Linked DNA regions of Schizosaccharomyces pombe. Each later gene encodes a partner of the first gene's protein in a complex. Each region holds a gene or a part of one and is shown in the gene's direction. Other genes may lie near its edges.

Region 1 (5,998 bases):
CGAGTGTATTGATCAGCGTGCTTAATTATATATCACAAAAGATATTCTTAAACGGTCTTATTCTTGGAAACTCCCATAACGTTGTTACTAGTCTCGTTGCCCCTCCGCTCCCGTTACAATATCTTGCCCATGTACCAATTGGTTACGTTATTCAAAGAGTCGTGTTTAGTGAAAGGCCTATTCCCCAATCATTATTTTTGATGATTTTCCTTACTCTGTGGAATTGCTTTATTCCTTATTCAATTTTGTTTTCAATGAATTGGTCCGCCATGTTCCAAGTGGTGGGTGCTTACTTGTCACAAATTTGGATTATCACTTTTATCTGCTGGGCATTGTCTCTGTAAAGTTCGAGTTCTGTTTCTTTTACATCATTTTTTTTCTTGTAATGTAGTTAGTTGGTTGTTTACTTCCTGGTGGAAGTTCTCATGGGCTTATCTTAATTCATTGTATCTGTTATGGGATTTTCCAAATTTGTCTATATGTCTTTACTCGTGTTCAATAATTTCAGTGAGGTAACGTCAAACTTTTTTCATCAGGTTAATGCCCTTTTTCTTCTCTTTTTCATTTTTCGTTTTCACGGTGGAATTTATTTCTGATGAAGGAGGCAGATTTCTTCTTTCTGAGTTGAACATCATGTGTGGAACTGACTATGAATATATGTAATTTAATGACTGTGGTTTCAAATTGATTCCGAACTCTTTTAAAAGATATCCATTGTGGGATGTTTCGTCCTTTATTCTCATCTATTAGGGTCGCATAGTTTGAATTGGATGATCGTTCAAAAGCAGTATATGGTTATACTTTAAGCAAATGTGAGAAGTCTTTTCGCTGTATATTTTTCCCTCTCGTGATATGAAAAAACAGTTGTTAAGTTCCACTAGTACTATTATATATCATCTGTGGGGCCTTTATATTTACATGACATGTATTTTAAGTGAAAAATCTTTATGCATATCAGAGTACTGTTGTTATTTGGAATCTACCTATACTTACACTTTTGCATAATGTTACGATCTGGCGTTTATTCTGTGCTTTTAATACTTTAGGCAAGTCGCGCTTGCAACCAATCCATGTAGGAAAATATAGAAAATAAACAATTTCTGTTTATTACTAAGCTTCGTTAAGATTTTGCCGTTCTTCTGTTTAGGTATTGTAATTACTTGTAAGTTGCACCGTTCACGAGTGCCAAAAAAAATACTCAATAATCTGACTATAAAGTGTTTAAAGGTATAAGATAATATACTAACCTAATTCATTATTTTAATTTCTAAATCTATTGCAAACTGGTAAACTTTCTTTCAATACCTGCCAATTCGATAATCGTAAAGGCATCTCGCGCATCAAGGAAAACATGAGGTTTAAAGGATCTAAAGCATCATGAAACTGAAATTTATCTTTATTCAACTAATAGAACCTATACTATTTGAAAGCTCAAATTCTACATTATACAGTTTTATAACGATAGTGCAGTAAATCCGATACAGTAGTCTGTTGTTCATGAACTCATTGTTGATCAACCTGTTCATAGCAAGTATGGCGCTAAAAATTAAAATACCAGAAACGTCTCAAGTAAGCTTTATTCCTTTAATTTTTACTTACAACTAGTCTTCTGATGAATATTCACGATGGACGGTTTACCATATTGAAGTAGCATTTCCGAATGGTGGGAAACATGTTGTATTTCGTCGGTTCAATGAATTCGTTGCTTTGGATGCTCAAATTCGGCCAAATGACTACAACAGTAGACTTTGCAAACTCCCCTCTAAATCTTGGGTTTCTTCAACTGTGACAAATGAAAAGTTACGTGAATCTCGACGACTTGCTTTACAAGCTTACGTTCAATGCCTTTCAGAAACGCCATGGATAAAAATGCCTGTGGTTAAAAAATTTCTAAATATTAAAGATGAATCGGAAGATGAAACACAGGGTCAGTTTTTGGGTCCGACAGATTGGATTCAAGTATTTCAAGATTGTAAACGTAATTTACATATGTACCGAGTTGACTTAATGAGTGGAAAAAGCATTACGATAGGAGTTCAAACAAAGAATGTCTATGCAATAAAGTCGCTAATGGATAACCTTTCAGAATCGTTAGACAAATTAGAATTAGCAAATGCTCTTGGTCCAGGAGAAATCCTTCGACGAAAAGATATGTTAGAACAGCTTGGTTCTGAATTCTTGTCATTTAAACGGTTAGTTAAAAATGCAAACAGCCCAGTCGCTCCTCCTTCTGCCTCATCTCAATTAAACTCTTCTAATCCTAGTTCTCCCTTTCGCCCATTATCTGCATCTACTGACAAACAATCTAATACCTCTTTGAACAGAGTCCTTGGAAAAAACAGAATGCCAGAGACACAGACAACAAAAAAGCTTGATAATGTAGGACTGTACAACATGCAGAATCAAACTATGGAAGATCAAGATATGCAAGCAGAATCGTTATTGCCTATTATTCAAAGGCAGAAGGAGCTTTCGAAAATGATTAATCAAGAAGTTGTCGAGCAAAACTCCATGTTAGACGAGCTTTCTAATGAAGCATATGCAAACCAAAAAAAGCTACACAGAACACGAGCTGGCCTTCGCAAATTGGGTTAATATTTGGGTGTTTATGAGTATTTGATTTAATTTCACGAAATTTAATGGAATCTTCTTTTGCAGTTTTGTCTTGTTTTCTATCCAATTCTGCTACATTAGTGATTGTCTTGGATGAGATTATCTGGGCTAAAAATATTTATTATTTGGTGTATTTGCGTTCTTTCCTTTTTTTTTTTTTTTGTTTAATCTTCTTGAAGATACCGCAGTAACCTCTGTGAGTTATATAGGCATGGTTAGTTCGTCCGTCAAGGTTGAAATAATTGTCTCCTTTAATTAAGCTTGATATTAATATACGACTTGTTTAAATTTCAACTTGTTTTGACAGACCCCATTTCTTTTGTATTTTGGTTTGGCTTGTAGTTCCTTTTAATGCATTTAGTGTACTGTGCTTAAGCTCGCTTTCTTTAGATTTTACTTATTGACAGACTTAGACAACTGAAATTCCAATAATGGAATTAACGCAAGAGAATACTGAGGAAAATGAAAAAACTCATGTAGAATCAATTGTAAAATTTGAGGATTCGAATAGAGGCACCATTACTGATTTTCATATCGAGACAGCTAACAATGAGGAAGAGAAAGACGCCAACGTAATTCTCAATAAATCTGTTAAAATGGAGGTTGAAGAAGTCAACGGTCACGTTGATTCTTCCTCAACGGAAACAGACATAGAAATGCAAGTCATTCAACAGCCTACAATACCCAAAAAACCACCCGTATCAGCTCATAGAAGGGGTCCACGAAAACACCGAGGAAATGCGAATAGCCAACTCAATCTGTCTACAGCCGATCATCAAAGACCATTGTATTGTATATGCCAAAAGCCTGATGATGGATCATGGATGTTAGGATGTGATGGTTGCGAAGATTGGTTTCATGGCACTTGCGTTAATATACCTGAATCTTATAATGATTTAACTGTACAGTACTTTTGTCCTAAATGCACAGAAGAAGGAAAGGGTATAACTACTTGGAAAAGAAAATGCCGGTTACGAGAATGCTCGAATCCCACAAGACCTAATTCCAACTATTGTAGTGATAAACATGGAGTCGATTTTTTTCGAGAAAAAGTAAAGCTGAGTACGGTTGAACCTTCTGCTATAAAAAATCTTGTATTGTTTGCAAAAAAAAGGGAAGAATTTCAAAATTTGGGTACGGTGGGACCGACATTGCCAAGCCAAGTTCCTCCTGAAGTTGTGTACAATTTTGAAATTGAGGAGGCCAATAGGCTGAACGCAGAAATTGTGCAATTAAATAAAGAGAAAGAAGTAGCATCTAACAAAAAAATATTTCTTCAGTTGATCAAAGATTCTTCGCGGAGAGCGGTTCTTGCTTACAAAGAAAGAGAAGGTATTAAGAAAGATCTGTGTGGATTCGATTCTCGACTTTTATTCAATCAACAACAAATGAATGAATTGTGGGAAAAAGTTTCAAATGGAGCACCGCTATCTCTTGACATGAGTATAGATCCTTCTCCTGAGTCCACCTGCTTTACAGAGAAGCGAAGATGTGCAAAGCACACAAGCTGGCAGGTAATTTTTACCGAAGATTTTGAGTTGCAAGAAAGTAATATTTTACAAAAACTAAACATGAAGCAAACTGCCAAAGATGTAATGTTGGAGCATCAAAAACAGAGGTGCCTACCCGGGATACAATACGACGGTTATGCTCGATTTTGTCATGAACAGTTATCTCCCGAAAAAATGGCTAATTTATTAAAATAAACAGAAGGATGCATCTTTTGGTTTAATTTACAATTTTGAAGTTTGCTTTAATTTCTAGATCATTTCATGTAAATCACGAGGCATTGATTCGCAAATGTTAATGAAAGAAAAGTTTATATTGCTTGGCATTTGTCTCTTAATTTTGGCTTTAAATTTATTGACTCCCTGTTTCGCAAAATAATGTTGACAGATGGTAATTTGGTTTTTCCTTCTAAAAAGTCACTTTTTAACATAAGGACATACATTCTACACCCTCTCTTTTTATCAACTCATGTCTTAATGGCCTTGAGGTTTTCTCTCTCTTTTGTTTTGAAATTTATTTTATTTTATTTTTTGGAAAACGCAGGCTCCTTGGATTTCACTAATCCTTCTTATTCCAGAAGCTAACGTCACAATGAGACAGAGGATTTCGTGGAGCTATAGAAAGCCAACTTTCTGACATTCCCATTGTTCTTTTTCAAACGAGCACTATGACTTTGGCATCCACCATGCCAATTATTTATTCGGCATCTGATGCCGCAAAATGGAAAGTTGCAGTATCTCCTTACCTGTATCAACTGAGCAATTTGAAGTTACTGTTTACTGGAAAGTTGAATTTTGCAGATTTTTATTATAATACGAATCCATTTGTTGTAGGACTACTTCTCTCATTTATTTTGGGAAATGTGCTTTGGGGAGTGTCTGTTTGGACGAAAAATACATCGCAAGTGGATCGGCTATGGCCAATTCTGCCAACGGCTTTTTCCTTGCATTTTCTGTTTTATGGTTTGGGATACAACATTGCTTCGCGAAGATTAATGATTATGGCATTTTTGCAGACTCTATGGTCCGCGCGTCTTACTTACAATTATTACCGTAAAGGAGGTTATAATCGAGGAGCAGAGGACTATCGTTGGGTGAGAGTTCGCCAAATCATGCCTAAATGGATATATCCATTATTCCACTATTTTTACATTCATATCTTTCAAGTGCTCCACCTATATTTGCTTGCATCTCCCACGTATATTGCCATGTTGGCTGGAAACGAACGAGCATTTGGAGCATGGGATTGGATAGCACTCGAGCTTTTCATGTTTATGTTTGTGCTAGAAATGCTAGCCGACCAACAGCAATGGGATTACTATGAAGCGCGAAATCATTACAATGTCGACAAAACCGTGCCACCTCGGTTTAAGTATGACTTGTTGTCGCTTGGACGTGGTTTCAATGCTACAGGGCTCTTCCGATGGAGTCGCCATCCCAACTTTTTAGCAGAACAACTTATTTGGCTTTCATTTTATCTATTTGGAGCGATCGCTTCAGAATCACTATTGAATTGGACGATTTTTGCATGGCTTGGACTAGTGGGCGTTTTTCAAGGCTCGACCAGACTTACCGAAAAGATGTCCTGTGAAAAATATCCGTTATATCGAGTGTATCAAGATAAAGTCGGCCGCTTTTTTCCTCGATTAGATGGTAGTCATTGGGATATTGTGGATGACGATGCATCATTAAAGGAGGATTAATGGAGAAACAAAATGTTCCTCTATTAGTGATCCATGGATCTCGTTTCATTTTCATTTGTCAATTGGTGTAACAAAACCTTTTGACGTTTTACCCCCTCTCTAAAATTTGGTTCACTGTAATTTATTTATGTATTATTATCTTGTGTATCTATCTTAGTCTATTTATCCAATGTT
Region 2 (5,350 bases), on another chromosome or scaffold:
CACATATTATAAAAAGATTGTATTCTATAGTATCTATTATTTCTAACGGCATAGTAATACGTTGTATTTTAAAAAAAGCCTTGATAAAAATAAACCAATCCAAATGCAATAAAGAGTATTCCTCCAATGAACATGACTTTATGAACCTTTATCTTGGTAGAAATATATTTTCCAGAAATAACTGCCAAAGCTGTACAGCAAGCATGACCAACATTAGCCCCCATGAATACACCGTAAACATTATCACTAGCAGCCATTGCAATAGTAGCGATTTGGGAGCGATCTCCCCATTCACTAACAAAGGTAAGTGCAAACGCCTTTATAAATAAAGGAGAAAACAGGGTAGCCATAACGTTCCGTCCCTTTGATTTTAATTGCGACATTAAAGTATGTCCAGAGCGAGACCTGTGACCAGTGTAGTGGGAAGGTGCTGCCCCTTCCTCCAACAATTGGTCGATGGGGCCATTAGCAGCTATTTCGTTGCGGACGTTCTGAAATTCGTCAGACATGGATTCTTTAGAATCCATAACTTCCTTCGCTTCCATAAGCATTTTAATTCCAAAAATCACAAAAAGGACACCTCCCAGAATGTCCGTTAACTTTCTAGGAAAAAGTAATGGAGCGGCGTGCCCAAGAAGTACTCCTAATAATGTCATGATGAATAGAGCTGAGTATGACCCAGCAAAAACAGTTAATCGAGAGTTTTCAAAGGCCAAAAGAGCAGCTACGATGAAAGTCTTGTCTCCTATTTCACAACCAAAAATCATAGATATAGAGAAGATCAAACTCCTAAGAAAGTCACGGTTTGTTGGGTGCACTTCCTCTGGATGTTTGATAGCTGACACGTCTGCCATACCTTCGCCAACGATTTTTTTCTAAAGTAGTGTTAGATTCAATGCAAAAAAACTTTGATTTCAATTATCTATCAAAACATTACTTCTTCCAAAAGGAAAAGTGAATATCATTGATTTAAGAATGTAGAAAAACGATTATAGCAAAATCGTAAATTACTGAGACAAAGTAAATTCTGCATCACCTGCATATTTGCACGGAATTTATTTCGTCTTTGTACAACAATAAACTAATCACGATTGTATTGCACAAGAACCAATGAGACGTGTTCTAAAGGACAAGGAAAAAACTTACAGCCACGACGGTTGACAGCAAAACCGCTATAATCGCCCATTTTATTGGATTTTTCATGACAATATTAAAAGACTGGGATGCAAATAGTAATTGCAATGTTTGTTGAGCGTAGATGCAAAGTTTGGTGTAGCTGAAATTTTAAAGGTAGTTAACAAATTCTTCGACGTATTGTGCGCACACCAAAAAAAAGCAGTTATAATTAAATGAATTCAGAAAAACAACCACATTTTGAAAATAGGCCTGTGTCTTTGGTTAGTATCGGTAAAACATTTTCATTTATTTTCTGGCCTTCACGTGGCATATGCCAAAAACCTCTAATTTGTTTTAAAACAGGTTTTTAACTCTTATCTTTCGAAAAGTTGTTATAGTTACCACTTGACTGTATATTAATTGATCATTAGTGGGTATAATACAAGCATTAGGACTTGCAAATGCTCATAATTTTATGCCTTTTTTTTACTTTCATGTATTACTTGTTGTAGCAATAGGAACCAATGCCAATCCTTTTAATTGTAAGTGTAATACGCGAAACCAAACAGAAGTTTGATAATTTTTTAGATGGGAAACTCACATTGCACTACCTACATAACGCAAGTTCAACCATAAACACATAAGAAAATTCACTAGCCAAACGGTCAAAGTAAAGCCTTAACAACAGAACATCGCATTTAAGTTAAACCTCGTTAGTACGTGTTTCTTACAGGGTGATTGTACGAAGTCCCTTCTGCGAGATATTACTTCAAGAACTTTTACATTGAGCAATCAAGACACGATCAATTAATTCAAGTTAAATGTGTCTTGTAAAATAACTCGAGTTTTATTAATAAGGTAGTATAAATATGGCCGAATAATCTGTAATCAAATCTTTACATTTCGTGAAAATTCTTTTCTTTACCACATTATTTTACCGTGTAGTCAATTCATAAACAAAAGGCATGGATAGGGATGTAACACTTAATGTTGATGAACTTGTATCTAAATTTAAAAAAGAAGGACATTTTGATCGCCTTCGAAAACAAATTCTAGAAACAGTAAATGAAAAGGTAGGGTCATCGATAGTTTCCTCAAAAATTAAACTATCACTATTTTTTTTAACTATCATAATGATACCAATGTCACTCACTCTTTTGCCATACTAACATCGCCTCAGGAATCAGGGCCTTTATTAGATCGGCTGAAAAAAATCATTGATGAAGAAATGGTGAAAGATCGCACACTCAAAAGTAAAGACCAGTTTAGGGCTGCTCCTTTAATTGCAGGTGCCGTAGATAGGTAAGCTTACGACTTAATAATGGTTTTTTTTCTTTTCTTTTTGGAAACTCAGTCTAACCCATAAGATCTTCATTGTATGAAGATAGCATGGAACACATCCGAAGCAATGTTTTATCTGATCAAGATTTGAGGGAAGTTATTTATAATTCTCTTGAACAAATAGGGATTGAACAAATAGAGCATGAGGATGAAGAAAAATTGCTGAATAGTAAAACCATGGATGGGCGCAAATGAAGATAATTAGCTACTTAAAAGTTTGAAAAAGTTTTGTTATTGATTACTTCTAAATTGCATATACTGAACATACTTATTACAATTAAGAATTGTACTCTCGGGAATTTTACCAGCAATCACATTAGGTTGCATAAGAAGTGAATTAAAAGTTATAACATTTAATGATGCTGAAGGAGATAATAAATGGACTCTCAGAAGAACAACCACAATTCTTTCAGATTCGGATCTCTATTACTGCTGATTATTAGTACATTCATTTGTGATGCCAATGTTTCAAAAAAAATAAAAAAATGTGAGAGTATGTAGAGATCAGGTGTGAAGGACGACAGAAGTTAAGATTATATATCCATTTAGGATAATTATATTAATGCAGTAATGAATAAAAGAGACCAAGTAGCACTTGGTTTTCTCATCAATAAAATATTTAATCATTATGAGTGTTGATAAATAAAGTTAGGGAGGCATGCTTGTTTAATTCAATCATCAGGCAACAGCAAATGTCAAAGAGCCTGTGTTCCCATAATCTTCTGCCATGCTCATAAAGACTAAATATAATATGATCATTATGTTACGATGGTCATTAAAGGAAGAACTTGAGGACGTAAAAGACAATTAGTAACCATACTGAAAATAACAGTTTACTCAGATGCATCGTCTTTTACCGTTGCATTTCGTAGAAGGTCATTTAGACTTTCGTCACCTTCTTCAACAGGAGCCTCCAAATCATGATATTTTCTACATATAAAGCAACTGAAGTATGGGTGACTTTCGTTTAGGGTTGGGCGTATGCATTTATAGTGATAAGAGTGAGAACAAGGTGCAACGAACAATGCTTGACAAGGTAAAACAGGCATAAGACATATACAACATTCCGGAGGACCCGATTCAGAAGATCCGCATAACACCAGTTCTTGCATTCTTTTGAATTCGTTAAGGTTGTAAGGACTAAGCTTAATTTTCCAAGAGTTGTTTAGCTCAACTCGGGCACGAACACAACGATAGTTGACTTCATGACCTCCTCTATAATCCGCCCCAAGTTGTAATATGTCGTTGTTCGAGATGGGATAAGGCTTACTCGTTTTTGACGGCGGTGATAAACGAACATGGTTCAAAAATGTACCAGAACTAGAACCCATATCTTGAATGTACCAAGTATTGTTTTCATAAAATATTTGTGCATGCCTTCTACTCACAACTTTGGAACGGAAGACAATAGCAGAAACATCACCGCCGTTGTATCGCTCTGTGTATCTTCCTATGTAAATGGGTAGATTATTTTGCTTGCGGTTCCAGTAGCGAACTAACGGATCAAAAGAGAAAGAATGTGCATTGGGACCGACAAAGTTAGTTAAACGAATTGATATTTTATCGTCGTCCTTTTCAGAATCAGTCTCAGCGGCAAGTTCCTGTTCTTTGAGGTATCCCTCAACAGATTTTGTCATTTTTTGGAAAGAAAAGCTTTATTAAAACAATTGAATGGAGGATAGAAAGTTACAAAAAACAAATAAATTAATGTTAAAAGCTTTTGAAAATTGTCTTCCGTATACCAATTTGATGTTATCCAAGAAAAAGTTCAAAGAAATATGCCTTCCTTCTAGTAAATTGAAGATAAGGTAAGTTTCAAATCTATTGCTAACAAAATACGAAAGTATATGGGGTTGTTGTGTTTATGTATTAAAGTTTGGAAGCAACAAGAGACAAAAACGAAAACAAAGGCCTCAAAAACAAACAAACTGTTGAAAGCTAAGGAAGGACAGCAAACAGAACTCTTAACTGAATTGCACACTTTAATTCCGAAAAGAAACACTTTTAATAATCAACCAGAATTTAGCTGTAAATGAAAAGCAATCGAAAAAATGATAGTTTTCGCTGTTATCAGAAAAATATGTTATAAATTATGAAGCCAATTTAGTAGAACAAGTAAATTGCACACAGTAAACGGTCAAATGGTGCTGCAAACGAATACAGTTAATGCTATGCCGCCTCGAAAGGCGCATGACTAATTCGGTATCCAACTTACGGTACAACACAATGTTTTCTTCGGTATAGTAATTGTGCATTAAATAAAACAAAACAAATAATAAAAACAAATAAAAAACTAGATGCGTCGCATAAACAATGACGATGATGGTATTTTGTCTATCTTTGTCTCACCATACAGATGGACTTAAGCAACACCGTTTTTATGTTGAATAATTTATTGTTTTAGTATAATTTAGAATTTAGCTGAAAATCCATCAAACAAAAAGTAAGTTGAAATGAGTAGTTCCGAAAATATCTTTAGCATTTCTATTTTTATAGATTTGGACTTGAGTCATTTCATGGTATATATCCCTTTCCGATCACGGTAGACAATTGTGAAATTACTTGCTTTTAATAGACTATATTAGAAAACTAGAACGAAACTAAATGAAATACAAGGATTTATGATAATTCTATGAAAATGAAAAGATAGACAGGTCAAAACTTCAAAGCAAATGAAGCCTTTGTAGTAGCAAATGCCGAGTAATTTTAGGGACTGTGACTTTGAGTTTGCGATTCCAAATCATAATCAGACATGAAAGGTAAAGAATCAGAACGAGTTTGGTCATACTTTTCATTGGAAGAAGTGAAACGATGGAAAATCTTCCAACGGGACGGAGATGTCTTAGAAAACGGAGATGAAAATACCCGTCGACCAGTGCGGGAGACACGAGCG
Region 3 (5,078 bases), on another chromosome or scaffold:
TGTGTCCTGCAATGTCTTTTTGCGTGTAAGGACTTGACTATTCCTATGTTACAGGGGAGAGGATTGCTTCAAAATATCAATACCAAAAATCCATTGGGTACCGGTGGAAAAATCACATCTGCTTTCTTTTCCTTGCTTCAAAGTGTCTTATTAAACCATGGTCAGAGATCAATATCTCCAAGGAATTTTTTAGAAATTGTACAGTCATTGAATAGAGATTTCTCCATCGATGGCCAATGCGATGCTCAAGAATTTTTAAATTTCTTTCTTGATAAACTTCATGAAGATTTGAACTCCAATGCATCTCGGTCTCCGATAGCACCGTTGACGGAAGATCAATTAAGTGCCAGAGAAGAACTCCCATTGTCCCACTTTTCACACATTGAATGGAACTTGCATCTCCGGTCTAACAAGAGTATTGTGGTCAACAATTTTGTAGGTCAACTTTGCAGTCGTACTCAATGTATGACATGTGGCCGCACATCTACTACTTTTGCTCCCTTCACATCGCTTGCGATACCGATTGACGATGTCTCCCATGTAGTAAGCCTACAAGAATGCTTATTAAAATTTTCAGCTCCTGAACTCTTGCAAGGGCATGATGGATGGCATTGTCCCGTGTGCAAGGTTCAAAGGTCGGCAAAAAAAGTAATTATGATTTCGAAACTACCTGAATATTTGATCATACAAATTCAGAGATTTAAAATATCCGTAATGGGTCGTAAAAAAATTGATACACCACTTGGATTGAGCTTACAGATTCCAAGTAAAATGCTGGTACCACCGAGTTTCCAATCGGGAATTGGTTATATTCCTAGCAATTATAACCTGTTTGCATTTATCTGTCATTATGGCCAGCTCGAAAATGGACATTATATATCTGATGTACTTTTTAATAATGAATGGTGCCATATTGATGACTCAATTGTTCGAACAGTGGGCGGTATTACTGACTTGAGAGAAGATTTCTCCTCTTCCTACATTCTTTTTTATAAACGCTCAAGTCTGTTGGAGGAGTTTGAAGATAAGTGTCCCAAAATGACTTTGAAAAGAAATGTTAAATAAAACAAAATAAAAAAAGGAAAAATGTTTTCAATAAACCTCAAATATAGTTATTGAATAAATGTTCAACTTAGCATTCATAACCGATATGAATACTTACTTAATGCTGATTACCCAACACAAAAGCTACTCTCGTTATGTTGAACAGAATGCAGGAATTGGATACAAAATTTTTTCATCCTAGAATTTTTTTTAAACAAAGATGGTTTTTTTCTTCAAGATTGATCATATTCTTTTAAGGAAGATTTTGTTCTTAACTTTCCAGACTTTTTCTTTTTAAACACCACTTTGTTTTCATTTGATTCCTTGCTTTCTAGCGATTTGTTTCCCTCGTTTTCAGCTAACTTAGGTACTTTATCTAAGTTTTTTGGTTTTACCCGAAAATGAAATGAAGATCTTTCTTCTTTTTCGATGATCTCTCTGTTTCTTTTCAAAGAGGTCCCTGGTAGAGACTCATTTTTATTAGTAGTTGTTTCCTTGGTTTCTTCATTTTCTTCTTGCTTTGCTAGCAATGTAGGAATATAGCTGGTATGAGTAGTAGAGATGGTGTCAGTCTCCGTAGAACTTGTAGGAATATCCCAATCATCCAAAGTAGCTTTTTTTTTAGAGGGACGTAATTTTGGATGCTCCTTTTTTGGTTTCTCATACGATGCTAGTTCAGATGACACCGCTGAAGCAGTGGTAGCAGTAGCTGATTTTGGTATAGATAAATTCTTCTCAAGTTCCTGCCTTAAAAGGTTGGAACGATGAATATCATCCATTACTTTTTTAATAGCATCCTGATGTTTATAAGTTTGCTCATGGCTCCGTCGCGCAAATGGTGTATCTTTCACGAACTGTACTGTTAGTAGGATTCTATTAATTTCACCACTTTAGAAATAATTTTTGGATGTTATAGAAAAAACTTACTATTTGGCAATATTTACAATAATATTTTGGAATACTTTTCCAGTAATCAGCCATTCTGAATATTAATAGGAGATACGCACTAAATACATACTTAAAACTTATTTACCCATATATTTTTCTCAGGAAACCCACCTTTTAGCATACCGTTATTTAGTAATGACAACAGTTTCAATTACTTTTGACTTGTTGTCGTCTATGCAACCAAGAAAATGGCTGAAAAATCAGAATTTTGTTGGTGAAATTACCTCTCTCAGTTTTGACGACAGTGGAGAGTTGTGCTTGGCGTCGTGTACTGATGATACTTTACAACTGTATAACTGCATTTCTGGAAAGTAAGTACTTCTTAAATTCACTTTTGAAACCTGTTTGGCTAACTGACCATGAACTTCTAGATTTGTGAAATCACTTGCAAGCAAAAAGTACGGAGCACATTTAGGTCGGTTTACTCATCATTCAAATTCATTAATACATGCTTCCACAAAGGAAGACAATACCGTTCGTTATTTAGACGTTGTGACAAATCGGTATCTTCGATATTTTCCTGGCCATAAGCAAACAGTGACTTCAATCGATGTATCACCAGCAGATGAAACTTTTTTAAGCGCTTCTTTAGATAATACTATTCGCCTTTGGGACCTTCGGTCTCCAAATTGCCAGGTATGAGTATAACAATTACTGATAATCAAACTAACTAGGAATACGTAGGGTTTGCTCAATGTTAGTTCACCCGTTGTTGCAGCTTTTGATGCTACAGGACTAATCTTTGCCTCAGTTAGTGAAAGAAAATACAAAATTTCTCTTTATAACATTAAATCATTTGATGCTCGCCCATTTCAAGACATTCCTTTAACATTCCTGCCCCCTCATGTCCGCATTGCAAATGTGGAATTCAGTACTGATGGTAAATATCTATTGCTAACAACTGGAAATGATTTTCATTACGTTATAGACGCTTATAGTGGAAGTGAATTATTAAGAGTTCCTTCAAAGGTTAGCACAAAAACCCAAGATGGAAATTTGACTTATTATGCTTCAGCTTGCATGTCTCCAGATAGTAAATTTCTTTTTACTTCATATGATAATGAGCATCTTTGCATGTATCAACTACCAGAACTGAAACAAACTGTTAACTCGGATCACATTGTTAATTCATTCACCGAAATGGGCCTAGCATCAACTACTCCGACCAGCAATAGTCATTCAACAGAGAACCCGCTAGCTATCATTCCTTCTTCAACATCTAAAAACCTTTTACCAGAAACACCTTCTATTGTTCGCTTTAATCCACGCTTCTCTCAATTAGTTACAGCACATTCTGGAGTAATTTTCTGGACGTAAAATTGTTTTTGTGTCTTAACAAACCACGAAAAAATGAATATTATATTATACTATTATTAAAAACAATTTCATAAAAAAACTTCATAACTATTATTTAAAAGGGGGAAAAAATGAGTCCTCTATTTTAAATGACACCTGAATGACTTAGAAGACTTAAACAAAATAAAAAAAGGTAAAGTAATATTAGTTTTGAATCGAGATTAGGTTCGTAATAAACGCTTCACAAAGTGTCCAAATTTTGAGTTTCTAAATCCATGATGGGAATTCCCCAAATCATAATCAACACACAAGACAATAGTCATACCTGCCATGTTGGTAGCAATTATTATATCAATCGGATGTACAGGAGGTGTTCCATATGATCTGTGACTATGAGGTTTTACTAGATTGTATCCTTCTGCAATTAAACTGCGATCATGTTCCGACTCTTTAGCTTCGACAGCAGTCCTTGCTGGTGCAATGATGGTCGAAGTCAGTCTCTCACTACAAACCTTGAATGTTTCCGTGGGCAAATGGAGAATGACAGAGCGTTTTCTTGATGCATTGATGAGTACCTTGTTGGGAATATGCCATAAAACTACTTCATTAGTATCACTTCCACTAATGATATAACTGTTGTCTTCACTTAAACGAGAAAGTACTCTGCCATTAACACGATGAGCATCACTCAGTTTCAACACTAAAGCGTGAGTGACCGTGTTGTATAACCGGATAGCATTGTCATTAGTAGATACTAAAACAACGTTGTCGGATTTTGAATCGTTTGGAATGATAGATGCGCACTGTAATCCAGTGACTCGGCATTTTTTATTTCTTGAGGGAGAATGATGAATTAGCCATGAGGACACATATTGTAAATTTTTAGTTTCATATATTGCACATAATCCGTAGAACATGCCCACAACGATCGACTCACCGTCTGGATAAAAACAAATAGTAGAAACGACATATTCAAGTTCCGTCCAATGCAATATTTTATGGCGTAAAATGGACCATAACTGAATTTTGCAATCAAGGGAACCAGAAACAAAATAACGATCGTCGATCGGGTGAAATGCGACACATGTAACAATCTCATTGTGCCTGAAAACCGCCAAGGATTTGGTTGATTTTGGATGCCAAAGCCTAACGGTTCTATCCGCAGAGCTAGTTAATAAAAAATCATTTTTGCTCCATGAAATGGAAAGGACTTCTGCGTTGTGACCTACACATTCTAGGACAGGTTCAGGTTCAAAAATGCTAGAAGGGGTAAAGAAACGACCACAACTTTGAGGACCTTCTTTGAGTAAAGTTTCTCTTCTTTCTGGTGTTTCAATTACTTTCCACACACGAATTATTGCATCTTTACCAGCGGTGGCCAGATATTTTCCACTTTTGCTAATTTCGGAGGCCCACACAGATTCTTTAAATTGAGAAGGCTCCCATTGCATAATTCGCTTGCCAAAAATAGTTTTTGACTTTGGAGCATCAGCCGGACCTATAACTTGAGAAACGTAAAGTTTTTGATTAAGTGTGATCTCCTTTTTGGGCATTCGTTTACAATGGACGGGAACGTAATGTCTCTGTCTTTTACTATCGATCTCACCACGATCAATCAAGTTCAGTAGAGATCGATCATCATCTCTTCCGGCCAATTTTTCCGTGTTTGGTGAATTCGTCTCGGCATACGTAGTAGAGTCTCGGGGTGTGTTAACTAAGCTAGAATTGTCATCATTATATTCGGTGTTCATACCAGTGTCGTTTTCTACATCTTCATCTTGTTGAATTGT

The links.
Region 2: spf1 (region 1) and shg1 share a complex: the UniProt entries of both Schizosaccharomyces pombe proteins name them as parts of the set1 complex.
Region 3: spf1 (region 1) and swd2 share a complex: the UniProt entries of both Schizosaccharomyces pombe proteins name them as parts of the set1 complex.

Annotation. Positions count from the first base shown.
Region 1 is NC_003421.2:362,525-368,522, reverse strand, and holds spf1 (Set1C PHD finger subunit Spf1), read left to right. Parts: upstream 1-3,040; 5' UTR 3,041-3,044; coding exon 3,045-4,319; 3' UTR 4,320-4,763; downstream 4,764-5,998. Other genes in the region: bouquet formation protein Bqt3, read left to right, coding at 1-344; vsl1 (SNARE protein Vam7), read left to right, coding at 1,534-1,569, 1,606-2,595; SPOM_SPCC594.04C (steroid oxidoreductase superfamily protein), read left to right, coding at 4,790-5,824. UniProt on the Schizosaccharomyces pombe protein: The Set1 complex specifically methylates 'Lys-4' of histone H3.
Region 2 is NC_003424.3:2,355,280-2,360,629, forward strand, and holds shg1 (Set1C complex subunit Shg1), read left to right. Parts: upstream 1-2,039; 5' UTR 2,040-2,081; coding exon 2,082-2,189; exon of another isoform or gene 2,190-2,296; coding exon 2,297-2,418; exon of another isoform or gene 2,419-2,483; coding exon 2,484-2,652; 3' UTR 2,653-3,109; downstream 3,110-5,350. Other genes in the region: gdt2 (GDT1-like protein), read right to left, coding at 69-875, 1,147-1,203; mitotic spindle checkpoint ubiquitin ligase Dma1, read right to left, coding at 3,291-4,094; mannosyltransferase Imt3, read right to left, coding at 5,164-5,350. UniProt on the Schizosaccharomyces pombe protein: The Set1 complex specifically methylates 'Lys-4' of histone H3.
Region 3 is NC_003423.3:1,780,206-1,785,283, reverse strand, and holds swd2 (Set1C complex subunit Swd2.1), read left to right. Parts: upstream 1-2,064; 5' UTR 2,065-2,127; coding exon 2,128-2,303; intron 2,304-2,363; coding exon 2,364-2,628; intron 2,629-2,676; coding exon 2,677-3,309; 3' UTR 3,310-3,339; downstream 3,340-5,078. Other genes in the region: ubiquitin hydrolase Ubp4, read left to right, coding at 1-1,065; wbp4 (WW domain-binding protein 4), read right to left, coding at 1,278-1,898, 1,972-2,025; SPOM_SPBC18H10.05 (WD repeat-containing protein), read right to left, coding at 3,510-5,078. UniProt on the Schizosaccharomyces pombe protein: The Set1 complex specifically methylates 'Lys-4' of histone H3.